Mytilus edulis: one gene and its partners. The protein of the gene in region 4 binds, or shares a complex with, the protein of the main gene of each other region. Links are inferred from orthologs where the notes say so. Each region holds a gene or a part of one and is shown on either strand. Other genes may lie near its edges.

The links.
Region 1: mediator of RNA polymerase II transcription subunit 23-like (region 4) and mediator of RNA polymerase II transcription subunit 16-like share a complex: the UniProt entries of both Drosophila melanogaster proteins name them as parts of the mediator complex. The link is inferred for Mytilus edulis from reciprocal best matches to the Drosophila melanogaster genes MED23 and MED16.
Region 2: mediator of RNA polymerase II transcription subunit 23-like (region 4) and mediator of RNA polymerase II transcription subunit 18-like share a complex: the UniProt entries of both Drosophila melanogaster proteins name them as parts of the mediator complex. The link is inferred for Mytilus edulis from reciprocal best matches to the Drosophila melanogaster genes MED23 and MED18.
Region 3: mediator of RNA polymerase II transcription subunit 23-like (region 4) and mediator of RNA polymerase II transcription subunit 19-like share a complex: the UniProt entries of both Drosophila melanogaster proteins name them as parts of the mediator complex. The link is inferred for Mytilus edulis from reciprocal best matches to the Drosophila melanogaster genes MED23 and MED19.

The regions. Positions count from the first base shown.
Region 1 is NC_092351.1:6,236,233-6,243,688, forward strand, and holds the start of mediator of RNA polymerase II transcription subunit 16-like, read left to right. Parts: upstream 1-4,438; 5' UTR 4,439-4,562; coding exon 4,563-4,693; intron 4,694-7,456. UniProt on the Drosophila melanogaster protein: Component of the Mediator complex, a coactivator involved in the regulated transcription of nearly all RNA polymerase II-dependent genes.
Region 2 is NC_092350.1:56,520,276-56,527,280, forward strand, and holds the start of mediator of RNA polymerase II transcription subunit 18-like, read left to right. Parts: upstream 1-4,005; 5' UTR 4,006-4,108; intron 4,109-4,821; exon of another isoform or gene 4,822-5,025; intron 5,026-5,305; exon of another isoform or gene 5,306-5,461; 5' UTR 5,462-5,483; coding exon 5,484-5,661; intron 5,662-6,649; coding exon 6,650-6,716; intron 6,717-7,005. UniProt on the Drosophila melanogaster protein: Component of the Mediator complex, a coactivator involved in the regulated transcription of nearly all RNA polymerase II-dependent genes.
Region 3 is NC_092349.1:32,000,288-32,007,776, forward strand, and holds the start of mediator of RNA polymerase II transcription subunit 19-like, read left to right. Parts: upstream 1-4,482; 5' UTR 4,483-4,987; coding exon 4,988-5,192; intron 5,193-7,489. UniProt on the Drosophila melanogaster protein: Component of the Mediator complex, a coactivator involved in the regulated transcription of nearly all RNA polymerase II-dependent genes.
Region 4 is NC_092344.1:94,866,836-94,874,434, reverse strand, and holds the start of mediator of RNA polymerase II transcription subunit 23-like, read right to left. Parts: upstream 3,010-7,599; 5' UTR 2,898-3,009; coding exon 2,844-2,897; intron 1-2,843. UniProt on the Drosophila melanogaster protein: Component of the Mediator complex, a coactivator involved in the regulated transcription of nearly all RNA polymerase II-dependent genes.

The DNA of each region.
Region 1 (7,456 bases), on a different chromosome or scaffold from region 4:
CATGTGATTAGAAAGATGGCTAAATGATCGAATTTTGAGATTATTACAATTGTTAGATATACTAACTGGGGAACCTCATTTTTTAATATTTGTGTTTTAAAAAATCAGAAAATTGTTTTTAATAATGGTTTTTGTCATAAAATAACATTAATTGCCAGAGGATATGCATTTTCAATTAAATACACATATATGTATTTGTTTATTATAATGCAACCTGAATATATACATGATTATACAATTTACAATACAGATATCAGCCTGCATAGGCTTATGAAGCACTTTATATGTAAATATATGTCCTATAAATAAATTGCATTTATGTTTCAACATATCTGATAGTTTCTGTTAAGATCTAGACCATTCAGTTGCTATCGAAGATGGCATGAGACTCCAGTACTGTCGTACAGTATATATCAATTTTCTTTGAAGCAACTTATTGTATGTACATTAAAGTTTTGTGTACTCCTAAAAAGTATTAATTATACAGTTTTATGGTGGCTATAGTATCTTTGAAACTAGAACAAAAAACATTTTTCCACAAAACTCCTACAAATTCTTATATGATCATCCGAAGAAGACAAATTTAATACAATAAAGAAAGCCTTACGCGATTTAATTTCATCTGAAAGTTAAAGACTGTGATGTCTAAATGCACGCGCTTTCACTCCTTCTCATGAAATCGCAAATAATTAACTATCTGGTGGCAACTCAGACATGGTGGTAAATTAACCCGGGAAGCATCCGCACTTAAAATCAATTACAGCCGTAGTTACACCATCGATAGAACAGAATGTGCATTTATAAATATTGCCTTCCAAAGGAAAAATTTCAACAACAAGAATGGTGAAACTTGACTAACTAAAAGAGCGAATTAACTTGCAACTGATCATGTTGTACAAGGTGGTTGTAGGGGTTGTTGTCGACTTTACATCAACAACTTTCATCGAACAAGAACAACAAGGAGTTTGATCATACCAATGACTTTTCAAGACTGTTGCGTCAAATATCCTTCACAGATGTGTCAAATATATATATATATAAAAAAGAAGATGTGTTATTTTTGCCAATGAGACAATTATGCAATAACAAAAAAACCGTAAAAATTCCGGACAGTAAAACACCACAATAATAATACATTTTCATGTGAATACAATGGAATTAACTCCAGGATTTCATTGTGCATATAGACTCCGTAGAGGCATTCAACCCCGTGGAATAAAGGACGGTATTCTCTCATGCATTTGTATATTGAACTGAATTACTCTAAAACACTTATATCCAATAAAAGATGGAGGTCAACTCGGAAGAAATAAAGCAAAGACTATAAAAGGAGCTATAAACTGAAATATATATCGCCCACTGACTTTTATATCTGGAAATCTCTTAACAAAGGAACTGTGTCATGTAAGTGACTGCCCATTTGTCAACTATAAACAAAAATTATATATAACAATGAACCTTGTAAACAAATTGAAGTGTGTACTAGTAAAGGCAATGTGCAAACCTGTCATTGAATTTCGTGCTTTATCTGTCGAGTGATGCCTCGTAGATAAAATGTCATCCTTTTTTTTTACCTTTTGCTCTTCTTCTTCTTTTGTCTTTTCTCAAAAGCATCCGTAAAGCTACCGCACCAGGAACTGAAAATTTATTAACAAAAAAAACATTCGCAATTTTTAAGAAAACGTACGGGACGTCATGACTATCCTTGACTTGCGGAATCTGGCACTTGTATAAACTTCAATTTATTTGAATATTACATGTGTTTGACGGATAATCAACTACTGTAATATGGATACAAATTGTGTGTATGATGTAGGTACCATATATCACGAAGTTATAGGAATTCCAATGTGAACCAACTATGTACCACTTATATCCATGGCGTTGTCAGTTTTTTTTTTCTATCTATGAGTTTGAATGTCCCTCTGGTATCTTCCATCCCTCTTTTATTGAGAACCTAAATAAAGAATGGGATGCTTTCATAATATTTGCATGTCCTTTTAGGTATTTATTTGCATGAAGATGTGCGATTTTATTTGCCGGATAGACATACAGATCTGATCATAGCTGATGTATCATTGTTATTGTGCGCATATGTATACCTGCAGAAAAAGATAAAAAAAGACATACCCGTTACTTACTTATTAGAGGAAAAACCTTAATTTATCATAATTGAAATCTGTTAATACAACTTCAAAAACAAAACAAAATGAAAAAATAAAATGAATGTGTAAATGTTTGACCATCATCATATCTATTAATATAAACGAGGGGATGTGAAATAAGACTAACAACTATGATCTAAAAAGTATGTACATTTTGGTTTCTCATTGATTAAAAAGTTTCAAATTAGAAGAAACTTTATTCGGTTATGTATTTCTTCACATAATAGAAATGGGTAGATAGCAAGATACCCCACCCCCTACACAGCAGAATATTGATATATGAACTGCCAATCGGTTGAAGATGTGGTCCATCTCCTTTTCCGTACCTCAAAAATTAAATGTATATGGAATTGCAAACAGTTATGTTTGAAATATTGAAATAAAACCCGTCAAAACAGCTGCGAATATGATTTGGCTTTGTAGTGTAGAACATATTGTTTATATACAAAATACATACATATATTTTGATTTTTTGCGGCATAAACTTGAATTAAGTCAAACACAAAATAGGCCTTTAAAAATAGGAATGAAAAATGTATTTAGTCTTAGATGCATGATTGTTTTATTAGTTGTTAGTGGCTTTGAACTAGACTATCAGTTATCTGCGAGTACTCTCAGATCTGTTCCTATTGTCTTTTTGTTGTTGGGATGTAAAAGTACCCGGCCATATCCACTTTTTTGTCCATCTGATGAGTTAAGCCTTTTTCAACTGATTTTTATAGTTCATTCTTATGTTGTACTGTTATACCACTGTCCCAGGTTAGGGGAGGGTTGGGATCCCGCTAAAATGTTTAACCCTGCCACATTATGTATGTATGTGCCTGTCCCAATTCAGGAGCCTGTAATTCAGTGGTTGTCGTTTGTTTATGTGTTACATATTTGTTTTTCGTTTATTTATTTTTTTACATAAATAAGGCCGTTAGTTTTTTCGTTTGAATTGTTTTACATTGTCATTTCGGGGCCTTTTATAGCCGCCTATGCGGTATGGGCTTTGCTCATTGTTGAAGGCCGTACGGTGACCTAAAATTGTTAATTTCTGTGTAATTTTGGTCTCTTTTGGACAGTTGTCTCATTGGCAATCATACCACCACATCTTCTTTTTCATATTAAAAAAAAAACATTTTTGTTTTAATTTCTATAGATGAGAATATTCATCCCTTGGTGTCAACTGCATTCTACTTACTTGTGCTGATAAACGGTTTATGCTATTAGTGCAGGTAGGATAAAGTCATTTCCACATATATATTTAGCATGTCAGTCAGTCTGTTTATGATCACATGCATTTGACTGTTAACATGATTAACCTGGGCTAGAAAACTTTGGCCGGCTGTTTTCTGGTCTTTGGAAGGGCTAGTGTCTCTTTGACATATTCCCATTTCCATTCTCAATTTTATTTATACATATCTTTCATATAATCTGTTTCAAACTGAAATTACAAACTTTTTAAAAGACTGTTTTTTAAATTGAAAGTATATAAATAAGAAGCAGAAAAAATGAAGGGTTCGTTTGTTGTTTTGGAGATGTATGCCATCAGAGACAAATAATACATAATCAAAAGTTTGGTAGGAAATAATTCTCTCTGGATTTTGCATACATTTACTATTGGCACCTTTTTTCTTTCAAAAACTATGGAAAAAAAACCGGTTACATATAAGATTTTCAAAATTGGCTTTTAAAACCAGATGTGATAAAATTATGAAAACAAAAGAAGAGGTTAGAGGGCAAATTTTTATTGGCACCACATGGACAAAACTACAGGATTCAGGTCGAATTTCTAAGAAGAAAATATCAAAAACATGAGTAACAACCATACTTGATTTCAAATTATAATGTTATTGACATGTCAAATTTTTATATCGGCCTTCTTGGCCCGGCTCTATTGGATTTAGGAATAAAATATCCATCCTTCCTGCAAGCAACTTACTGTGACTTGTCTGTTTGGCTGACTCGATCATAAAAAAAGATCCTTTACTTTGGGTTTGTCACTGATTTGAAAATAGATATTGCCTAGTAGCAATAGAAAGGGATTAAGGGCAGCCACCCCTCAGTAAATTACTGTTCCTAAACAACAACAAAACATTTTAGATAGAACTTGCAATAGTGAATGTGGAACTACTACAAGACAAGAAAAGACAAGACAAGACTAGCATCCTGGCCCAATATAATACTTTTATTGTAGAGCAGTGGTCCCAGGATAAATGAAAGACGGTAAAAATCTGTCGAGCGTAGATTTTCGAACGCGTTTTTTATAATGGTAACTTATGACTAAATTTAGAACGCACTTGTAAAAGAAAGAAAATGTCTGTGTCTTCAAAGTGCTTGATAAAAGGTGAAATTTGGTTGGATACAAAACATAAATTTTGACATCGACAGGAGGGAATTGAATATTGGAAAAGGATGGAATTAGTTTACACGGTGGACTGTGATGTTCCTTGCGGAGAGAAAGATTGGATATCAGAGAAAAAGACATGCTGTTCTTTATCACCCCAAAACTTTTTGGCTTTTTCGACCGAAATAACTGTGAATAGGTGAGACATATAGACATTTTTCTTTAGGGAGCTACCATTTGATTTTTATGGGGGGCAAGGATGAAATTTGAAAAAAATAGGCAGGACAGGAGTTTTGAGTAAAAAAAAAAAGGCAGGATGAGAAACTTGTTAAAAAAAAAAAGACAGGATGACAATTTGTGTAAAAAAAGTCAGGATAAACTAGTAAAAAAAAGGCAGGACCAAATAGAGTAAAAAATAAAAAGGCAGGACAGAGATTACCACTAAAACAAAAAGCAGGACAAAATTTTTCATCCTAGCCCCTCCCCCCCCCCCCCCCCCCCCCCCATAAAAATCAAATGGTAGCTCCCTTAGAGGTGTTCATTTTACATTTTTCTGCACTGACATTTGAAATAAGAATCTCAACTCAAATCATTCCAAAAAAGATTAAGATATCTTGAAACAAACAAAAAAGTTAACTTTTATATATTTAGTCCTGTCATGCCTTCAAACTTTCATTGCTCAGATATCCACATGCATGGTGTAGCATAAACCTGGTAGGTCTTTTCAACACTGAACACAACCGAACACCACCTAACACAATAAAATACCATCTAACACAAATATGTTGTTTTCATCTTTATCTGACGAGGGTTAATATGTTCAGTGTTCTAGCCAGGATTTGAAAAGGGCAGGGTGCTAGTTTAATAGTCCAAAAAATTATGACATTTGGCAAGGCTAATTTTTTTTTTTTGGACGCCTTCCTACGACGTTGTTATGTTCATAAGACAACACAATTTGCAATGTTTACCGTAGTTGTATGAAGAAAGCGTAACTGACAGGAAGAAGAAAACCCAAATCAATTTGTTTAAAATATCGTTTTACTTGTTCCGTAAAAAATAGCAAATTCAGACGAAATTAGTCTTTAACTGACGCCAGTTATGATACAAAAATATCAAATCCGGCTGCCATTGTTGATCATATTTACTTCTTCTACGTACTGTGTACAATCCTCAAATGAAGGAACACACCCAAATAAAGAAAGATAACTCAATTTTACTTTTTCGTATCATTGAGATACCTACTTTAGACATGTCTACGATATGTCTACATAATTCTGGGTGTAGAATTTATGTGTTTAGGTCTTTTGAGTTATGGGAAGAGTTAAAGAGGGTCTTAGTACATGTAGTAGCAGTATGGGTAGGATGCCTTTTTGACATCTTTTTCTGTATTCTTCACTTTTGATACAGTTTTTCACTGTTCTGTAAATTTAAACAACTTATTTTGTTTTCTTCATTCAATTACACATTTTCTATTCTTTATTTTTTAATTTAAAGACATTTTATCTATTCTGTAGCATATATACAGACCAGGGTTTCCCCTGGGTCAATTATTTTTTTCGCCACCTCTTTCGCCAAAACAATATATTTTTCGCCACTTTATTATTTTTTTCGCCAAGTAACATAAATATATTTTTCCTGTTGTGCCCTTTTGTACTAAGAAGTAATTTTTACAACAAAACAAAAGCTTTTATCACATGAAATTGATCTCTCATTTCATGTGTAGTCATTACATTGAAGGGTAACTCTCATTCGAGGGGTTGTTCCCAGCCTTTTGGATAGATTTTTTCATAACAACAGTTTTCTTTTCTTGACCATCGTAAATGAAAAAGTTGAGACGTACAACTATGCTTGAAACACGTGCATGTGTCACTCAAACGACTTTATTAAAGTCAAAGGATAAAAGAATTAAAGTTTTAAATCGGAGATTTTTCTTGCTTTTGTCACAACAACAGCTTTCTTTTCAAAACTATCTTTAAAGGGAGAGATGTCAAAAGTTTGCTTCAAACACGTGCGTCGCAAAGATGTAAATAAATTCTGTATGTGACATTTATAGCGGAAGCCATTTGACCATATCATTTTGTGAAACAATATAAGCAACACCTTTATTAATTAGTCCTTTGTTGTCCATAGCTATAAAATGCAATCAGCTGATTATTGATTTTCTGTCTAAATCTTTGAGGTCAAGGTGAATTCCGAGTATTGTCTGATCGGGTAAAGTCCGAGAAACTCGAAAAAATGTAAATAAACAAGATGGAGGAAAATAAATCGGTTTATATATTTCTTTCGCCAAATTCTTTCGCAAATGACGAATTTTTATCGCCACAATTATTATTTTTTCGCAAATTGCGAAAATGGCGACCGCCAGCGGAAACCCTGATACAGACCATGAGCTAATTTATACATGTATTCTTCTACATTTAAAATACTGTCAAAAGAAAATAAAGTACACATGTTATTTTGTTGTATATATATAAATTACATAAACAAACAACATTTACTGTACATCAGATTCCTGACTTAGGACAGGCGGGATTAAACGTTTTAATGGTAAAATTTATACCTGTATAGAGGGATAATCCTTCTATAGTTGTCTAGAGGTATATTTTTTAAGACTTGATTTAAAGCAAAATAGGGCAACACATCATTTTCTAGTTATATTGGCTATAATTTTCAGCATTTATTATAATATATGAATCAATTTGCCTTTTCAGAATCTGAAGGACTATGGGTAATCTCATTATTTGTACACCAAAATGAAAATAACTTTACGTCATTGGTTGAATTTCTATTGTTCATCACGTTGTCAACCAATCTCAATATTTTGCTGTATGCTTTTGGAAATATTACCAAGAATGTATTAGATTCTGAAACGGCGAATTATCAATGATTATTGCACTTAACTAAAAATTGGGATGCCCAGTTTTCTGGGCCTGACTTATACACATTAAAGTCAAGTTCAAAA
Region 2 (7,005 bases), on a different chromosome or scaffold from region 4:
TTGGTTTCAGAGTTATAAGTCAAAATCTACATTTTACCCCTATGTTCTATTTTTAGCCATGGTGGCCATCTTGGTTGGTTGGCCGGATCACGTCACACATTTTTAAAACTAGATACCCCAATAATAATTGTGACCAAGTTTGGTTTAATTTAGCCCAGTAGTTTCAGAGGAGAAGACTTTTGTAAAAGTTAACAACGCCGGACGACGACGACGACGACGGACGACGACGACGACGACGACGACGGATGACGACGACGACGGACGACGGACGCAAAGTGATGAGAAAAGCTCACTTGGCCCTTCGGGCCAGGTGAGCTAAAAAGGGCACAGTCCGCTTGAAAGTCCTTAAATGTAGCAATACGGGGTCATCCGTATTCTAACGGACTTGCTGACTATATTTTCTTATTGTCTCTTTTTAGATCAAATATCGAATTGCTCGAATATAAAATTACACTAATTTTAAATAAACATTTGACAAATTTGGTCTATTCACAAGTATTAATTAAGCTTAATGACATTGACTTTTTAAGTTCTATTTTACTTATTTTTTAGAAAGATTGTAACAACACAAAACAGTCATGATTGAAAAGTTATGAAATAAATTACAGAAATTTACATCATGACACCTAAGTTCATTTTCTATTCTCTTAACCCCGTCCGGACAATCAGAGGTACAAGAAGGTTAAAACCGAGTAAGCCGAAAGCTATAATTGTATACAAATACAAAATTTATTGTTCAGAAATAGATTTTATTAAAACAAATCTTACTTCAATTTCTATATAAAATGAAAACAAGTTATAAATTTCATGAGACCGAGGTACTTTCCTTCACACTTAAAGCCGAATATTTGAAATCTAAGATCTAATGATATTCTTAACAGTTGAAGGGCTATATGACCAAAAAGGACCTATAAAATATAGCCTGGCATGATACTACTTGTAATATTGTTAAACTATCTGGGCCTCTCATAAAGGTTAATAAACGATTACATAACTAGTATGGCTATACATATGCTTTCATTGTAGCACATTGCATGTGATGACAGAGCCCTGCTTCAGTGTGCAGTGTTGTCGTGTTCTTCTTATAGAAATACCAACATATGAATATATAGCAAAAAAAGGTTTTATTCATAGTCTACGGGTGCATCACTCGCACCACCATTTTTAATGTTCATTAGACCTTATATTTGGGTCAAAACTCTAATTTGGAGTTCAACTTCATCAAAAACTACCTTGACCAAAAACTTTAACCAACAAGAATGTGTCGACCCCCAGTACACGGATGCCCCATCCGCACTATCATTTTCTATGTTCAGTGGACCATATAAATGAGAGAAAATCTCTACGTTGGCATTAAAATTAGAAAGACCATATCATAGGGAACATGTGTACTAAGTTTCAAGTTGATTGGACTTCAACTTCATCAAAAACTACCTCGACCAAAAACTTTAACCTGAAAACTTTAACCTGAATCGGGGCAGACAGTCCAACGAACAGACGGACGGACGCACAGAACAGAAAACATAATGCCCATAAATGGGGCATAAAAACTTTTACCTGAAGCGGGACAGACGATCGAAGGAACGCACGGACGGATGCACAACATAATACATCTAAGTGAGGCATACAAAGCATTTGTTTGGGCATGTATCTGTATTTTCCTTATTTTATATCTTCATGAAATGATACTCATGCGCTAATGCATGCAGTAGTTGAACTTCAACTGATGCGTATGTGAATTAAACGGGGAAAAAGGATATATGATATATCCAAATATTTGCACTACCGATATCGATGAAACATGTATGTCCGTGTATATATCCAGATTGATTGATTGATTGTTGGTTGCTTAACGTCCAGTGGCAAATGTTCCATGCATGTTCAAGACGAGAACAACATCATATATATCCAGTGAAAAAGTGTTTACTGTCTGTCCTAAGAGACCAATAGATGACCACATTTTAAGGGTTGCTGATAAAAAAAAAAAAGGACAAATACCTTGCAGCAGAACGAAAGTAGAAATATTATATGTTATTCAGGTCTCAGACAGGGTATATACTGTGACATTCCCGGCTTAGAGTTTATATCCCCTGAGCCGAAGGCGAAGGGGATATAAGCCCTAAGCCGGGAATGTCACAGTATATACCCTTTCTGAGACCTGAATTACACATATATTACGGATTACCCCTGACTTAATGTTATTTTCCAGTGCAGGTATTTGTTGACAACACATATATATTGAAAAACCCAACCTTATATGTTCGGCATACGTGAAGGATTTTTTAATTTTCTGTGAACATAATTTTATCGTGTATGTAATAATTTATAATAACACTTTTAACATCAAATTAAAGTATTAAAAGTGTTAATTGCGTGATTTTGTATCAAAAATGTATTATTGACTGAAGCACGTCATTATTTTCCCTCTGTGAACCTCTGACAGTCTGATAGCTTATGACTACGTCACATAGTAACCGGTGTTATGATGACGTTTTTGAGGTTCCAATTGGGGATAGAAACGTAGTATATACCCCGGCAGTTTCCTGAATATATACTGACATCTCTGAGTTGTTATCCAATCAGAAACCTCGACACATTTGTAATCCGTAATATTATATGTTATTCAGGTCTCAGACAGGGTATATACTGTGACATTCCCGGCTTAGAGTTTATATCCCCTGAGCCGAAGGCGAAGGGGATATAAGCCCTAAGCCGGGAATGTCACAGTATATACCCTTTCTGAGACCTGAATTACACATATATTACGGATTACCCCTGACTTAATGTTATTTTCCAGTGCAGGTATTTGTTGACAACACATATATATTGAAAAACCCAACCTTATATGTTCGGCATACGTGAAGGATTTTTTAATTTTCTGTGAACATAATTTTATCGTGTATGTAATAATTTATAATAACACTTTTAACATCAAATTAAAGTATTAAAAGTGTTAATTGCGTGATTTTGTATCAAAAATGTATTATTGACTGAAGCACGTCATTATTTTCCCTCTGTGAACCTCTGACAGTCTGATAGCTTATGACTACGTCACATAGTAACCGGTGTTATGATGACGTTTTTGAAGTTCCAATTGGGGATAGAAACGTAGTATATACCCCGGCAGTTTCCTGAATATATACTGACATCTCTGAGTTGTTATCCAATCAGAAACCTCGACACATTTGTAATCCGTAATATATATATATACTTTGACAAATTTCACTTTAGTCTAATGTATGTTATAGCAATATTATATATATATATAGGGAAATAAACAAAACGGCAGAATTAAAGATGAAAAAAGAATTAATATAGCAAATATCGAATGAAATCTAAAAATTACCTTTTTAATTTGACATATTCGTTCTCGTGTGGTTTATCAGCTAGAAAGATTAGTATTCATGTGATCGTTTATAAACGGATAAAAAGCGGGAATTTTAAAATTCTGTGTATGCATTTACGAGTACGATAGTTAATTGATAGTGACGTTTTAGATATAAACATAATTATTCTTCGACTTTCTAAATTCCAGTCGCTATAGTTCTTTGCTATATATATTTCAGTATATAATATTAATTTATTTCCTTTATGCAAAAGGTTAACAATACTGGCGTCAATATTTGTATGATTTCGTGAGACTAGAAATCCTTGCGAAGATCTTTTAAGATTTCTAAGCACGGGGGAGGGGGGGGGGGGGGGGGTAGAAACCCAAACCCCCCTAAATCCGCTAGTGGGACAACAAAAATAATGAATAAAAAATAATGGGGTGCTATAATATGAGGTGATAACAAGGCTCCAAAATTAAACAATTCGGTAAAACATATATATATATCTTATTCTTATTCTTATATATATACACTGATTAAAGAAAATAATAATGTCCAGAATTTACTCCCAATTTCAGAGTAGCTATTCGAGTATTAAAATAACCGGCGTACTCCTCACCCCTATCAATAACCTTTGATTCCGTAACCGTTTGTCGTTGAAACCGAACTCGATTTCGTTTTTATATGGTTAGTACAGTTTCCGGTTTCAGTTTTGTTTTTATTTTCAGAAACTGAACAATGTATTTTGGTACAATTGCTTGTAATCGAACATTTTAAGGGTAACTTTAATACTTCAATATCACAAGAGGTTTAATCCTGATATAAATGATAGAGCACAATGTCACTCAAAGCAATAACAGTAGGGAAATAAGAATAAAAGGGCAAAATTATATATGACATCTATAATGATCTACATGTATAATAGCCTATATAAAAACCATTGTTGTAAATATGACATGTATGGATAAGAGTAAGAAGACATTGAATAAAAGAAAATAAATAAGAAAAAATGAAAAGACATTTACAACAAGAAAAAAGAGATAAGAAAATGCATACCTGCCAACTTTTCAAAATGACCATGGGGGTTTTGCATGCAAGATCATGAACATTGATGAAGATGGCTCCTATATCGCAATATATGTAGTCCTACAAAACCTTCAAGGGGGCCTTCAAATTCATTTTAATGTTGGTTTTTGGCTTCTGCATACTTTTACACGCCAATAGCCATTGTAAAATTCATTGTTTTGTTTAAAATTTTGGACAAAATTGCTATTTCAAAATTTACATTTTGGAGCTTCCATGGGGGAAATCCCCCACCAATAGTGACAGTTGGCAGGTATGAAAATGGAGGAACCATGCACCAAGTGAAGTACCTGTGCTCTAAAATTGAATGATAAATCATATGAGGCAGGCTTTATCTTGAACATGTTGAAAGGGGACAAATATTCTGACATTTTTCTAATTGGTCTCATCAAATTTTTGTGAAAGCTTACTAGTCTGAGAAAGGCGTCCCAGAAAAAAAATGAAGAAGCCTTGCCAGACGTCTTATTATTTGGACTAGGGAATTGGACTATAGTGGGTAACGGGTCAGACTGATATACACAAGACAGGAATATCATACATGTACTCTTTGTGCAGCTGTTTCTATTTACATGTAATATGAGGCAGGCATTACCTGTAAATGGGGACGAAGTCTGTATGAATTATTTTTTTTGAACCTTAAATATATTTGTTAAAAAAAAGAAACGGAAATACCGTAACGTTTCCGATTTTGGTTCTGTTGTTAGGTATTTTAGTTGTGACGTTATTTAAGTTATGACGTCATATGCAATGTAAACAAAGAAACGCTATCATCAGGTAATGTTTTTTTCATATCAAGGAATTATCAAAAATGAAATTGGTATTGCGTTCCTTCCTATTTTATACTAGACTGATAAATATATATTTTACTCAAAGTTTCATACAAATGAGACCAGAAAAAGGAAGTACATTGTATATTTCTGCACAGATGCGGGAATTCAAAACATAACATAAAAAAATTGAACGATTTTGAGTTCATTAGTACATATACTCTTTGTGCAGCTGTTTCTATTTCTGAATGTTAAAAGTTAAATTAGTTTTTTTTTCTCCAGAAATGAATAATTGTTGATAAATATGATGGATCCACAATTAGCACAAGCATTAAAGGCAGCACCAACCAATGAATACCTTCTACAAGGAAGCATTTTAGACAGTTCGTTAGAAGTCTTATTGTGTAGACTGAAAGGTCTTTGTGATCATGCTGATTCTCCTGAAGAAAAATTTGTAGATCATGAAATGGTGTATGCCATCAGTAAGTATTCAGTAAAATGACGGTAAATGTTGAATAATTACATTACATGTATGTTTCAATATATGTTACTTTAACTGGCTAACAGCAATCTGGAGTCATTCTGAAATTAACCTGAATTTTAAAATGAAAATCAAAAATGTAACATTTATGAAGACAGGAGCTTTCACAATAACATGCACATATAAATAAAAGAAAGTCTTGTTTTCATGATTCTAGAATTTTCTAGCAAAAGAATTTAATTATTAATATTGAATGCTTCTTTAAATAAGTTTATAGGGTTGTTGAAGTGTTGACTGTGCACATTTTTAGAATGAAGTGCTTCTGTGGCTCAAAGAAAATGTACCCCGGCCAACACTTTTACATCCATATAAATTTACAAAAAAAACATGTCATTCTTAATTGAATATTAGTTAAACTAAGTATAGTTTTACTAATAACAGTACTTAATGAGGAAGTAATAGTTATCTATTTGATACACTTGAGCAATATGCATGTTTATAATAACATAAAAAGAAGAAATTATGCTTGATTTATTTTTTTTAAACATTTTAATATAATATAAAAAAGAAGATGTGGTTTTATTGACAATGAGACATCTCTCCACAAGAGACTAAATGACAAAGAAATTAACCATTTAGGTTGTTGTACTGCCCTTAACACTGAGCAAAGCCCATACCCAATAGTCAGCTATTGAAGGCCTCAAAATTACAAACGTAAAAAAAATTCAAACAAGAAAACTAACAGCATGAACAGCCTAATTAATGAACAAAGAAAAGAATGAAAAACAGATAAAGTAAATTTTTAGATAAGCCCATCTGTGTGTTTTGTAAACCTAATACTATACTCTGAAATTGGTAAAAATTAATGCTGTGACTTGAATGGAGAGTTGTCTCATTGGCACTTATACCCCATCTTCTTATATCTTTTAACTGTAATCATCAAGTCTTGTTTTGCTTTAATCTTTTCTTTTTATTATATTTCAAATCAGAGAATGCCAGCATTCCTCAGCCATTACAATATAGTGTCAGACATTCCCTGGTTCAACCAGAAAACTGGTAAGTCCCTGTCCAGTACTCATTGTGTTGTTGGCGGTATGTTTTTTCTACATGAGGTATAGGGGGAGGTTGAGATTTCAAAAAACAAGTTTAACCCAGCTGCAATTTTGTGCTTGTCCTGAGTCAGGAGCCTTTGTTAGTCTTATATGAATTTTAATTTTAGTTTCTTGTGTATAGTTTGGAGTTTAGTATGACTTCCATTATCACTGAACTTGTATACATATTTGTTTAGGGGCAAGCTGAAGGACGCCTCTGGATGCGGGAGTTTCACTCTATATTGAAGACCCTT
Region 3 (7,489 bases), on a different chromosome or scaffold from region 4:
AGAATTACTTTTGTTTGACGATTGTCACTTTGTATGAACTGATTTACTAGCCAGTGGCTTACAGAAAAACACAAAGTATGTAGAACACTTTGATAAAATCATGAAAGAATCAAAAACTGGTCACACGTTTTTTTTTATTGGGAAGAGTTTCTTGATCTAGTGGATTGATTCATTTTCAAATTAGGGGTAACAGTTTTAACAAATGATATTACCCAGTCATTTACCATAATGATTTTAGCATTAATCCATAAATCGAAGATATTATTTTATTTTTATGTCTTGCTATGAACATTTAATTTATAACTAGTATTTCAATTAATTTAAAGAAATGGACGCTAATCATACTGCAATATGTTGCAATAGATTTCATTTTGTTTAATGGTGGCAGCTGTTATTACATTGTGAAATTATTCTTAGGGAAATACATATCCAGTATTGTTTCGTCATGAATGGATTTAATATTGTATAGAAATTCGATATCGATACTGCAGAGTACTGGGGGCGTTTTCTTGATATATCGATGAAATTATTCAAGAGTGCAATGTGTTTAGGTACAATGTGTCGAGGCTGTGACATTTATGTCGCCAACAAGAGATAATAGCCAATCGGGATTTGTGGTCGGCGGTGGCGATGGCTCTGTCAATAAAAGAAATAACCACAGATTGAACCTTTCTCGTCAACGTTTAGGTTTAATCTGTGATTATTTCGTTTATATAATTAAAAAAAATTGAACAGATTATGATAAGCTTTTTTAGCTATTCCATATCCAAATTAACATTTGGAAATCTGTTATCTTAATTTTAAAGCCAACAAAACATATAAAGTGAGATTTTAAAGTTTTTTTACACTTCAATTACAGTGTCAAACCTTCATATAATGTTATGAACATTTAGCAGAGGCTTTCTTTATGATGATGAGATAAACTTTTTAAATTGTGGTATTTTTTCTTAATTTCAGTATGTTTCAAATTTTAGATAGACTCAGTTTTAAGATTAACAATAAAAAAATATAAAAATATTGTTTTAAATATTTTATTTTATTGATAAATTGACTCACTTTTTGCGGTCACCATTGCACATTTACACCGACAGCAGTAATACTTGAGTGAGATAACTACATACTGTTTCGTGGAATGCGTTCATATTTGAACAATTTTCGCCTAGAATTTCTTGCGAAATATCAATCGACTCAAGAAAGAAAATGATTTTTTTTTATGCGCACGATATAGGATGTTTGAGTTTATTTGTTGATAAATGATCATTTAACCAAATTTGCGAGGAGAACACGAATATTTCGCACACTCTTTGTTCAATATCTAGTCTGCCTGTGTTTTATGGAAGCTACTTATTTGAATAATGTATGTTTATTCTAATCTTCAAAGAATTGATATATATTTCAACGGTAGCATTACAAATATGAAAATGTTTGTCTCGCTTTAAGATTAAATGTCTACACTGTCGAATCTAGAAAACAAGTGGCAGATTCAGGGGAGAGTTCCTTGGGAAAACCTCTGTTGCCCCCCCTCCAAATCCTAGATTAGGAAACTTCCCTTTTAAAAATGGCTGAACACTTCAGAATTTTTTTCTGATTTGTATCAGCTAATCCTCAACAGCAACTGTCTATTGAAAAAAAACGGTACAGTCTTAATATTTTCCGAATGCAAATTGGACACAGTAAGAGTATATTATTTAAAAAAAAACATAATTTACAAAAATTTTGATAACCCTTTTCAATTTACAATTGAACACCCTTTTCAATTTACAATTGAACTTGACAATCTATGTATATTTTGAGTTAATATTTTTAATCAAGAATAAATTGTCCATATTTACTAACTAAACATCAAGCAAATCTGAAAATCGCGGAATGATATGTAGTAACAGCCGTAAGCTCGAAATATAGTGTTTGCGAAAAAAGTAATAGAAAATGATTTTAAATTAAAAAAAATATGTTGGAATTAAATTGAATTAAAAAATTATATAAAAGGAAAAGATTAATTGATTAAAAAAACAAATGTTCAAAATGTTAATGAAACAAAATTAGAAAAATGTATGACGGAATATTCAAAAGTAATTACAATTTCCAAATCTTTCTATTTACATTTATAATGTATCTTGCTGTATTCATATTCGGAACGTATTTAGATATACAAAATATAACCATACTGAGAGTTTTACAAAAAACATATTGAGAAAGTTGTATTGCATCCCCCCTTTTTCTCTCACATAACAAAACAATAATTGTTGTTTGATATTAATTATACCTGACTTTTTGCATTACTGGTTATTTAATAAATTCAAGCAAATAACAAATACCATTGGTAAATTTGTTCAAAAATATATTTCAATCAACATACCGGCATCACTTTTTTATGTAAAACATTTAACTTTCTCATACATTAAGATGAATAAAAAAATACCATACCTTGCATAAAAACAAACATTTGTGACGAATACCGATTTGACTGTCCGCACTTCTGGTCGTACTTGGAAATTCAACCCCTATTCCGTGTGACTAAGTTGTCTTTTTCTAATTGATTTCAAAGTAAAGTGCGACTACGTGGCACGCGACATCATCCGAACTTCTGTCGCTGAAGCACACCTGGTGAGGAAAAATTGGGAAAATTATTTTATTTATTCATATTTCTCGCTGAAATTACCTTGTTTATGACGGATTACAGTTTGATCTATTGATTTAATAAAGCCTGAATGGAGCCTCTATGAAATGTGAAACAGCTGTCCCATAGCCGATACACATCAAACACTTCGATCACCGTAAAATTAATTTTTCTATCGATTCTTAATATTTCTGTATATTTATTATATAAGCATTTCCGAACTAATTTTTAAAGAACTGCCAATTAGGGTGGCCATCCTTTTTAAACCTTTTATATATACATGTAATACTAGTATAGTATGTACATGATGTAGATGGGAGAAGCATACATATAAACGTAACATAGCAATGTATGCATTTTGCCGTGATCCATTGTCAATGAAAGGGTGTAGTTGTAAAAAAAATGTTAAAGAATATAAAACAGAACAGAAGGAAAGGCTTTAAATACATTAAATGCAATTGTCTAAATACGCTCCCTCCCCTTTTTTGTGGGATTTTTTTTGTTGATTTTATAGGGAATCCCTGAGCATGACTGGAGCGACCCCCTCTTTGGCAGTCAGTGAGTCCCACTTATGAAAAATTCTGAAACCGCCAAGTGCACTGTACTATCAAACCATTTGAAATAACTGTCCAAAGATAAAAAAAAAAAAAAAATCATTACTGAAAGGGTAATTGAGTTTGGATTAATTGCTTTTGAATTTCTTTCCCTCAATGATATGCTTAGAGAAAGACGAAATGAGGAAGATTCTATATTACCTAAATTTGAAATGTTCAAAAAATAGAAAATACGTTTCTCTATCCAAACTTTTACTACCCCATTCCCACAAATTTCTTTTTATCTACTATATTAATTTGTAAGACACGTCCATCTAAATGAAGACGGATTGATCTCCAGCTAATCCCCCGTTTAAATAATAATTTGAAACAACAAACTTAAATATGATCCTCATTAAATTTGACCCAAAAATAGTCACTTTATAGGAATAGATATTTAAAAAGACGTTCTAAATTCCATTTAGTCTAAAACTAATCCAAATCAGATTTCTGTTATTCGAATATTCTTAGATACATCTTTTTTGGCAGAAATTACCAAACATTAACAATCTTTCTGACTTTAAAACACAGATATAAGATTTACGCTGTCACGTGTATATAAAATATGATGGAATATTTTATGTCCCAGCTGACGGATATAAAAAAAAGAAAAGAAATGAGGAACCTTTATTTGTTTCCTATTTTGAAACTACGTACAAGTATGTCTGAGTTAGTTTACAATGCACACCTTTGCTGTGCATTATCCAGATTATAGCACAGTAAGAACAAAGAGATTTTACCAATGTCATCATGTGTTAACTTATAGATATAATAGATTTTAATAAACAAATACTATAGATATATAAAAATAGACGATTATTGTCAAAACAATTTAATATGATAAAGTGTTTTATATTATTTTTCTGTAAAATATGTGTAATATGATGTTTAGTAATCAAATTAAATCAATCGAAATTCTTTAATCCAAAATGTAAAAATTATATATGATTTTATCAGTAACAAATAAGAGCATATATATATCAATAAATATCTCAAAATTCAAACGATATCAAAACATGCATCACACGACCATGATGACGTTATCTAACATTTAATATATGCAGTGGCGGCTCCAGAAATTTTCATAAGTGGGGGCCCACTGCATGACTACTTAAGAGGGGACCCGCAGTCCGGTCATGCTTCAGTGATTCCCTATATAATCAACCCAAATTCCCCCCGCGGTCCCCTCTAAAGCCAGCCAAATAGGTTTATGATGCAAATATATATAATGTGCATCATAAGCCTATTTGACTGGCTCAAGGAAGTTATAGTGAGTCTTACTATACAAACACGTAAGTGGCTGGCTGATTTGTATTTTGTATTTTTACACACGTATTTATTTATTTGTTTATTCAGGTTGCACTATGATGAATGATTCTTCTCTTCTATATAGAAATGATTTATAAATTAATCGCTGAGATTTTATATATACACACAGCATATTGATATTTGTCCTGAGTTACTGTGACTGTCTAGCTATTTGAAGTATCCTTCCAGTCAGCTACAGGTGGTATTTGAAGAAGAAAAAAATGTGTAACGTTAATCATAATGTATGTGTATGTGATTTTTTTTAATGTTAAACATTGTACTTGTTTTATGGAGAGGGCCTAAAGCCTTTGCTTGATGTCTAATCTAATTTTTTTAATAAAAGTCTGTGTTAATTATATTTTCCGTATATTTGATGACATGTGCGTCTCCGTTAATCACCTGAATTAGACACAGTTTTTCTGACCAATCAAAATCGAGATTGCATTGAACAGATCAAACATGGTGGACAATGAATGAGGCAATTCGAAGACCAGAGCAAGTGTCCCCTAAATCCAGTCCCCGGGGGTCAAGATCACCTGCATACCCCCGAGGAGATTCGACTGGAACTCTGAAGACAACAATAAGCTTAGGGAGAGTTCCTTCAGTAATACATTCAGGTCCATTTTATCTCGTCAAAGACACGGGAACTGGAACACACAACACACATAGCAATGGTAAGACATTCTTACCTGAAACAATTGTCCTGTATAATTTAGGAGAAGTATTTACTGTCCTGACATTGTCGTGTTTGTAAGTCCAAATAATTATGACCCTCTTACATTGTCTTATCCTGTTTACATCATTTGTACATCAAATGCCCAAACAAAAACCCAAACAAACGTAATGGAATAGTCTTTCAACAGGCCTCGACAATAACGATTGTCCGGTACCAGAGGGAAAAAAGGTCGGATAAGTAAAAGCTGTATCAAGATTGTCCGTTGGGACAAGTTCAATTATTCTGCAGAAAATAAATTTACCTCAACTTTGATGAACAAAGTAATCATGGTAATTATAAACAAAAAAAAGAAAACAATTATTAATTTGACATGTTTCTGTATTCTGTTTATTCAAATGCAAAACCGTTTTCTTCAATATGTTTACTTGCAATAGATAATTTTTAACTGGTTCTTTGTAAGGTAGTTTTAAAAGGTAAAAGGTATAACATTCTCGGAAACCAGTCTTACTGATCGAATCAATAGTGCTTGACACCTCAAAGATTCAGCTTCAAGTTTAATAGACAGTTTGGCACCTAGGAGACATATTTAGTTGACATGATTGATAGACAGTCTGACAAGGCAGGAGACATTTTGGGACCTAGACAAATCAGTACCTCATTTTGCTACCTTATTCTGTTCCTTATAATAAATACCATTAGATAATTTTTTCACAGTGCTCTTTCAAAACAGGACAATTTGTCTGCGCTCATTTTGTACTTGTCAGACATTCTTACCTGTATACATGTACACTTATATATAAACGTTTTTTTCTACATTTTCTTGTGCCTTGCTAGCTTGCTAGGACCAACGACCTTTCTGAGTCCAGATAATCTATTTTTTTTCAACATTCAATACATTCTAGATCTACTTTCATTCAATGCAAGTTTGCAATTGACATTTAAATATTTCAACCCAGGGCTCACACTACTTCAGAATTATAGGGAGAAGTGACTTCTCTTTTTGAAACTGATAGGGAGAAGTGGTGAGATTTGAAAGAGAAGTGCTCATTCGCGCGGTGCGCTACAATGTTTGGATTTTACAATAGTATAAAGGGCCATATGTAGATAATGTTCTTTTTATGTTGTTCAATTCATATGAGTAAAAAATTACAATTAAAGTAACATTTGAAATAAAAGTTGTTTAAGTTTTACTAATGTTCTTGTGAGAAACTAACCAACTAAATATCTAGCACTAAAAAAAAATTATTTTAAAAAATGTAAAGAAATTATAATATATCAATTACAATTTAATTAAAAATTATCTTGTGTATGAAATTCAGTGTTTCTCATAAAAAAATATAAAAGTTATTAAGCTGGGCCATAATATATTGATATTAGTAGAATAGTCTCTAGAGTTAAGCAACTTTAATCAATAGTTTGAAACAATCCATAAAAAATATAGGGAATTATATACACCAATCAATTAGATGTAACCAAAAGTCTCTTATGCGTGTGGAATACGTAATTTTCCCCTTTGGGATCAATATTCTTCTGTCAGCTGTTCAATCCGTGCATCCGTAGTAATTATTGTAAAAGTACGGATTTGGGTCATAGCTGGTCCGGTTCAGATCCGTAGTTTAGAAATCGGTCAATGGCGGACGAATGCAAGAAAATTTACAAAAATAAACGATGTTTGACAAGTTATTTGGAAAGGAACATGACGGTTTTAATGCAATAAATGGATTAAACATTTACTGGATGCAACTTTTATCACGTTTAAATGAAGTAACAAACTTATTTTGCCGCCGAAATTTAGGTTGATGTACGTTTTCGAGCAACAAGTTGCGGGACTTGCGGAAATGCACGAAGTGATAAAAAGTTGTATTTTTATCAAATAACCTGCTCAAAATTGCGAAGACAATGCTTCAACCTCTTTTCTAAAGATAATGAATCGTTTATGTCTGAATTTCTTTAATTATCAGTAAAAAATTGATGTTTCATCAACTTGGTAAAAATTGAAAATGTCCAATGACGGAAGCGACTGAAAGCGACTGTCGTCAAGAACAGGGCGACTTGTTTTCGCTTTTGGGGGTCGGGGAAAGCGAAGTGACGGTCGGGAAGGCGACTTCTTCGCCCAAGTCGCCTGGTAGCGTGAGCCCTGCAACCAATCAATGTTGATTTTTGGTAACTAGGATCTTCTACAATGTACCTTATACGATTAACATGTGATACAATGTATCTAATTATAACCTAATTTGTTATTCATCATTGTTCATATGCAAGAGCTATATATATCTAATTCAATTATCAAATGAG
Region 4 (7,599 bases):
AATGGATGTTAACCAAGCCCCTAATTTGCCAGAAGAAAGCTTTTTTTAACAGGAAAACTCAAATCAACTTTAAATACTTTTTTTTTTTTAATAATTTTAAATAATTTTATTTTAAATAATCAAAAATTATTGGTGAAACATTGAACATTATTACCCTTTCACAGAAAGCTAACATAGGATGTACATATTGTATATAGTTGTAAATATTTATTTGTGTTCTTTTTTTCATTTTTATAATTATTGGTCAGTGTTCTCCTTTTTTCACTAAGGTAAGGTGGGTGTTTTGAAAAAAAACACTTGCAACCGGTTGATTTTTTTAACATTTTCAACCGGGTTGATTTTTTTCAGTTTTACTGTGGGTTCGGGTCACAAATAGAATGATAAATATTGTATTTACATTTAATGGAATTGAACCATTCTTCTGCTATCACTGCCAGCCTTTCATTAAATGATTTGACAAAATAGTTTTGTGCATTTCGGATAGCAGTTCATAATTGCTTTTGCAGGACTCCCTCCTCCTACGAAATCTGCTAATGCATGGCCTATCGAACCAAGTTTCTGTCCTGTTCCTTGCTTTGGTGCTGTTTTGGCACACAGAACAGTAATATCTTTCTGTGACGATATCCATTGAAAGTCCTGTTCATATTTATCACCACCCCTCAAATGAGGGGTAATCTCTCAATTTAATGACTATCCCTTTTATGAGGGGTACATTTAAAGAGAAACAAATGAGCACATATTTGTTTTGGGCCTTTTTATCTCATTATGGACACTCTTGTAGAAAAGTTGTACCAAATAAAACGATTTCCCCCCTTTTAAGGTAATAAATCTAAGTTTTTCTTTTTCTTTTCTTCCGAGTTTCTTCCACAGTAATATGACCCCTTTCCTGATGGACAGTCCCTCATTTGAGGGATATCCCTCATTTTGGGATTGTTCCCAACCTGTTTATCTTCGCGATCACCTGTGTGCCGATTCTGTTGTTTTGATACTTTTTTTTCAATTTCAACAATTTCAATTCAACTATCCGTTTTAGTTGACTTATATGGCTTAGAATTTTTCTGGTCATCTGCCTTTCTATTCCCCTGATTAATAAAAGAAAACATTGAAATTTGACAATCCGCCATTTTTGTCAATGAAAACAAACTGCGAGGCGCGATTAGTATTTAAATTTTTATGGTGCGGAACCGAAAAAAATCCGGAATTTGAAAAAAAAAGCCGACCACCTCCTAAAATGGAAAGGTGGTCGGCACACCCGGCTTAAATGCTGAATGGAAAACACTGTTGGTGTTGGTAATGCAGCCTTGGTAAACCAAGACAGTCACAAGCCTGTTTAATGCAGAGTGTCCATACCGTAATATAATTTCATTATCTCTTAATGATTAATTATGTAATGGGCACGTGTCAGTAAACAACAACCGAATTAACAATATAACAGAACTTTGATATTTAAGATATATCCATTGGACTCACTACCAACGATATGCACAGCACAAATGTCTTCATGGTTTTTTATACAAAATTATAGTTACTTGTAAAAACATTTATATTTGCCAATGAAAATCTTTAATTTAGTTTTGAGAAAATTTTATTAGAACAAACATACGAATCATCCATTCAGAAGCTTTGTTTTTATTAAAAACAATCAAGTATAATAATTTTTTAATTAAATTTGAATTGAATATGTGAAAATTCTTAATTACATTTTATTTAATGTTGAGTAAATTGTTATGAAAAGTAATTAGTGATTGGAGTAATTGCATTGCTTTGATGTACTGGTTAAATTTTCAAATCCTTTCTGAAAAACAATCATTAGACAATTCTCTGTACATAAATGTATATACAGTAAAATATTTAATACTATATTTTCATAGCGTTTTCCTTTGAAGGCATATGCAATCTTTCTTTTATTCATTCTATACGATTTCCTTGGTCGCCATCTTGGAAGTACACACCAATATCCATAAATTTTGGTGATCAATATTAACTTACCTGCAACTTGTAAATCATTTTTAGGTTATAAAATACACTTCTTATATAATTTTATTCAATAATATATGTTTAAAAGTCACTCAAATGTGTTAATATTGATATTTGAAGAGTTATTCGGTCATTACATGTGTTATTCGGACAATAACAGTGTTATTCGGTCATTCGAGGTACCGAGGATTTTGCTGTGCACTTTTTTTCATTCCTCCAGAAGGTGCCAAAATAAACTAAGTTGGGAAACAGGTTTGAGAACTTCCCCACAGGTAAAAATTAAAGTGAGTATTTTTAATTGACATGGACATTAGATGGACAATAGATACCTGACAATAATTGGTTATTTAAACTGTGTACCTGAGTGGACCATATCAAAGTAAACTCAACTGATTGTTAATTTTATCATCTTCTGCAGAGACGAAAAAAAGTGTACCGCAAAAATCCAGTTAAGTTATGAATTTTCTAAATCATACAATGCATTTGAATTCTATTTATCTAGGGCATGCTATGCCTTAAAACTTTTCCAGATGCACAGGTTTGCCTGTACTCTGAGAAAATTTTGAGGTGAAAATATGGCCATTTTAGCAATAGGGTCCACATGAACCTTAACATGTACAAATTATGTATATTGATGTACATTTTTGTATTATATTACAAAATAGCAATAACCAGTTTAAAAATAAGCCTGCCTTTACATCATATAAGGAAGGCTAATCTACCATAAATTAACATGTGTCAATTCTGCTTCTAATGGTACCAAGTTACTTAAAATCAAGTAACAAATTTACCCCAAAAATTTAGTTTTCTGTGAAAACATCTCAAGAAGCGAATACTTATGGCCACACTCTGTATATTTAACTTACTAGTATATCATTGAATACGTCAAAAACGACATCTTCTATGGTTCTTTGTGACATTTTCTTGTTTCCTGAAAACAATTTACATTAGATTATAAAAGAAAAAGAAAACAATTTTGTATTTTCCTCCATGGACGCCGCCATTTTCTACAATTCTAAAGTAAAAAGCAACGTCCGAGGGAGAACGAGAAAAATCCGTTTAAGGTACAGAGGTTTTCTAAATTAAAATCGATAGATTTTTTGAAGAATTTTCAAAGATGTATTGAATATTATATCCGGTTTTTTTTTAAATATTAAAAAATATGGATCTTAGGGTTCCCTTTAAAACTCGAAAAATATGTCTGTCATCCGGGATAGAGAGACAACAAAAATGAGCGATATAACCTTTTTAAAAGAGATTTCTAATAATGTGCATAAAGAAAATAAAAAAAAATGAGTCACAGGACTGTTTTCAAGCTGCCCCCCCCAAAAAAAACCAAACGTAAGTGAGTAATCAGTTTATCTTATTTTTACACTGATGAGCTCAAATGAACTAAGTATTTGATGATCATTCGCAAACCAACACACTGATTCACGGTGGGGCGTCCGCCAATAATTTAACCCCGCCAAATTCAATAAAAGTGTCTGTCCCTAGCCAAGAGCTTGTAATACAGTGGTTGTCGTTTGTTGCTGTCTTTATCATATTTGTAGTTAGTTTACTGTTTGTTTAATACTTAAACCAAGTCGTTAGTTTTCTCGTGTCACTTTGATTTGTTTAACATTTCGGGGCTTCTTACAGCTGACTATGTAAAGGGTTTTCTCATTGTTGAAGTCCGTATAGGGATCTATTATGTTGTAAACGTATGTCACCTAGTGTTTGGTGATCTTTGGTGAAGAGTTGTCGAATAGGTAATTATACCACATCTCAGTTCAAGGCTTATTTTTGTACTTTACAAAAAAAAAACACATACAAATCATACAAGCAAGCCAAGAATAAAACGCATACACACAAATAAAAGCCAAACAGAAAAAAATGAACAAAAAAAATAAATAAAATGATTGACATACTGCAAAGCAAATACCCAAATATCGTCATAAAATAAAGAGAACAAGACAGAACAGAGCTAACTAAATATTCATGCAAAGCTTAACAACACAAGATACTAGAGAACAACCACATTTCTGCCGATAAACTACGGTCTTAATGATATAGTTTTATACTACGCTTGTGATAATTATAAATTATAAGAAATGACTGTAATATTTTTTCTGTCTATTCGAAATAACATAAAAAATGTGTTGCACACTGTTATATAACCCGCTTTGTGCGTTATTCAGTGTGCACCAATCTTTTTATGTTATTTCTTCATAGACAGAAAAAATATTACAGTCATTCCTTATTAATAGAATTGAACTTTACAAAACCGTAGTCAGATTTGATAAAAAAAATGTTGTCTTTTCTTTTCTATTCATTTTTTTTAGAAACACTAAGAAATCTGAGCTCAGTTTGTCAAATATGAAAATCATAAATTTTCTTAAAGAAAGAATGGATTATCCCATTCCTTGGTACAACTGGGATAAATATTTTTTTTTGTATTTATAATAAAATAGATTTACACCTACTTAATAATTACATTTCTGACGTCAAAGTTAAATAATTATAGATTAATAGCAGTCATTTTGATTTCATCTTTTATCCTATTATTCCAAATAAAAGAATTAAATCACAGTGTAAAACCAATCACTTTTAGTATCTTTTTATACAAATAAATACTTTCTGGTCAATTTCAATTCATTTGATGTTTAAATATTAAAATGACATGTTAAAAGACCACATACAGATTTTCCCATAAAACCATCGGAATGTACATACTGTTTCTTGTTTCGATTGTTTTACTGCAAATATATGGTAAAGTTAAAACTTTATTTATAACAAGTGTAATTTAAAACAAACATTCACCGTGTCTTATAATTTAAGGAATGACTGTAATATTTTTTCTGTCTATGAAGAAATAACATAAAAAGATTGGTGCACACTGAATAACGCGCAAAGCGGGTTATATAACAGTGTGCACCACATTTTTTATGTTATTTCGAATAGACAGAAAAAATATTACAGTCATTTCTTATAATTTAATTTTAAATTCCATAGAAAACCATGAAAAAACGTTGATGACGTCACGGTCACATGACTGAATTATGTCTATGGGCTGATAACAAAATAACGTCAGCCAATCAGAAGACGCGTTACATCCAAAATTAAATTATTAAAGAATATTGAAAATGTATGTTTTGAAAAATTTAAGGAAGAATGGTATGACAAGATTATGTCAGATGATAAAAATAAGTTACGTACATATAGAATTTTCAAAAATGTATATGGCGTAGAAAATTATTTAATTTTTAATAATCCAGGTAGATACAGGAGTGCTTTAGCAAAATTTAGATGTGGTGTAGCACCCTTCAGAATTGAAACTGGTCGTTATGAAAATATTGATATTGAAAATAGATTATGTTTTTAACTGTAATGATGACGTTGAAGATGAAAATTAAAGATGAAATTAACATGTTTTGTTATATTGTTCTGCATATTCATATATTCGTAATGTTATTTTTAACCATGCTAGTATTGTTGATGAGATTTTTTTTTACATATGTCTGATAATGAAACAAATATATTTCTTTTTACAAATGAAAATATGGTATTTTATACTGCCAAAATCTGCTATGAAATTTTAATAAAGCGTAAATGTATTTTATATCATGATAGTTGACTTAAGCTGTATTTGTATTATAATTAATGAAAAATTGTTTTATATATAGTCTCTCATAACTCTTTATAGAGTGGCTCTTGTTGTTAATTTGTGTTTTAAAAAGCTGTATATTTTATATGTAACAAGTGGTGAAAATTTAATAAAGTATGTGTCTTGTCTTGTCATGCTACGATATCATTCCACTCATTTTTAGATTATATGCAAATTTAATAGGTATAGCAAATATTGGATTTATATGAGTCATTCCGTTTTTTGTGTGTGAATCATTTAATTAGCATCATACACTCCTCAATGCGCATCACTCCCATTCATGTCCAGTGAAGGATGTTTATTCAATATTGTCGACATCGCGATATCTACAATGTTAACACGATATAGTGTCAACAATGTTTATATTGTTTGAACCCTTATATAATGTATACATCGTTGACATCGTGATGTATACAATGTCAAAATGATGTTGTGTTAACATCGTTTACATTGTTTGAACCCTTATATATTGTTTACATCGTTGACATCGTTAACATTGCGATGTATACAATGTAAACACGATGTCGTATCAACAACGTTGACATTGTTTGAACTCTTATATATTGTTTACATCGTTGACATCGTTAACATCGCGATGTTTACAATGTTAACACGATGTCGTGTCAACATCGTTTACATTGTTTGATCCCTTATATATTGTTTACATCGTTGACATCGTTAATATTGCGATGTATACAATGTAAACACGATGTCGTGTCAACATTGTTGACATTGTTTGAACTTTTATATATTGTTTACATCGTTGACATCGTTAACATCGTGATGTTTACAAGGTTAAAACGATGTCGTGTGAACATCGTTGACATTGTTTAAACTCTTATATATTGTTTACATCGTTGACATCGTTAACATCGCGATGTACACAATATTAAACCGATATCTAGTCAACTTTGTTAACATTGTTTGAACTTTTATATATTGTTTACATCGTTGACATCGTTATTATAGCGATGTATACATATAAGAAGATGCGGTATAAGTTCAAATGAGACAACTTTTTATTTAAGTTACATCTTTTATAAGTATACCCCTATAGGTTTGACATTAATACGGAGTTTTGGTTTTTATCGAGTAGCAAGCTATGAAAGGCACAACAAAACACTAGTGTAAAACTATTTGAACAGGAAAAATAAAGGTCTAATGTAAAAAAAACATGAAACCAGAAACACGTATGAACAATTCAACAAACGACAACTACTGAACGACAGATTCCTGACTAAGGACAGGTGCAAACAAATGCAGTTTGTTTAACGTTTATATACGTACCATAGACTCAATATAAAATATAAACACGATTTTGACACAATATTGTTAGCATTGTTATGTGAACAATTTAAACAGAAAGGTATTTATAAAAAAAGAAGTGGTATGATTGCAAATAAGTAAAATTTTCAGTACATACATACTAACTGGCACATCTATAGATAACCGTATGGCCTTTAACATTGAGCAAAGTTTATATGGCATAGTTAACAATAAAAGACATGAAAAATGGAAAACAATTTTAACTATATAACTAACTGCTTAACCATGTTAACTTATTTTAAAAAAAAGAACGAAAAAAAATGTATATATTACAACAACAAGATGTTGACACTATATTGTTAACATTACGTTGTATACGATGTGAACGATGTAAACAGAAAGGTATAGACTTTATATATACAATATAAACACGATGTTGACACAATATTGTCAACATCGCGATGTATACGATGTGAACGATGTAAACAGAAAGGTATAGACTCTATATATACACGATGTTGACAAAATATTGTCAACATCGCGATGTATACGATGCGAACGATGTAAACAGAAAGGTATAGACTTTATATATATATATATACAATATAAACACGATGTTGATACAATATTATCAACATCGCGATGTTTACGATGTGAACGATGTAAACAGAAAGGTATAGACTTTATATATATAAATACAATATAAACACGAT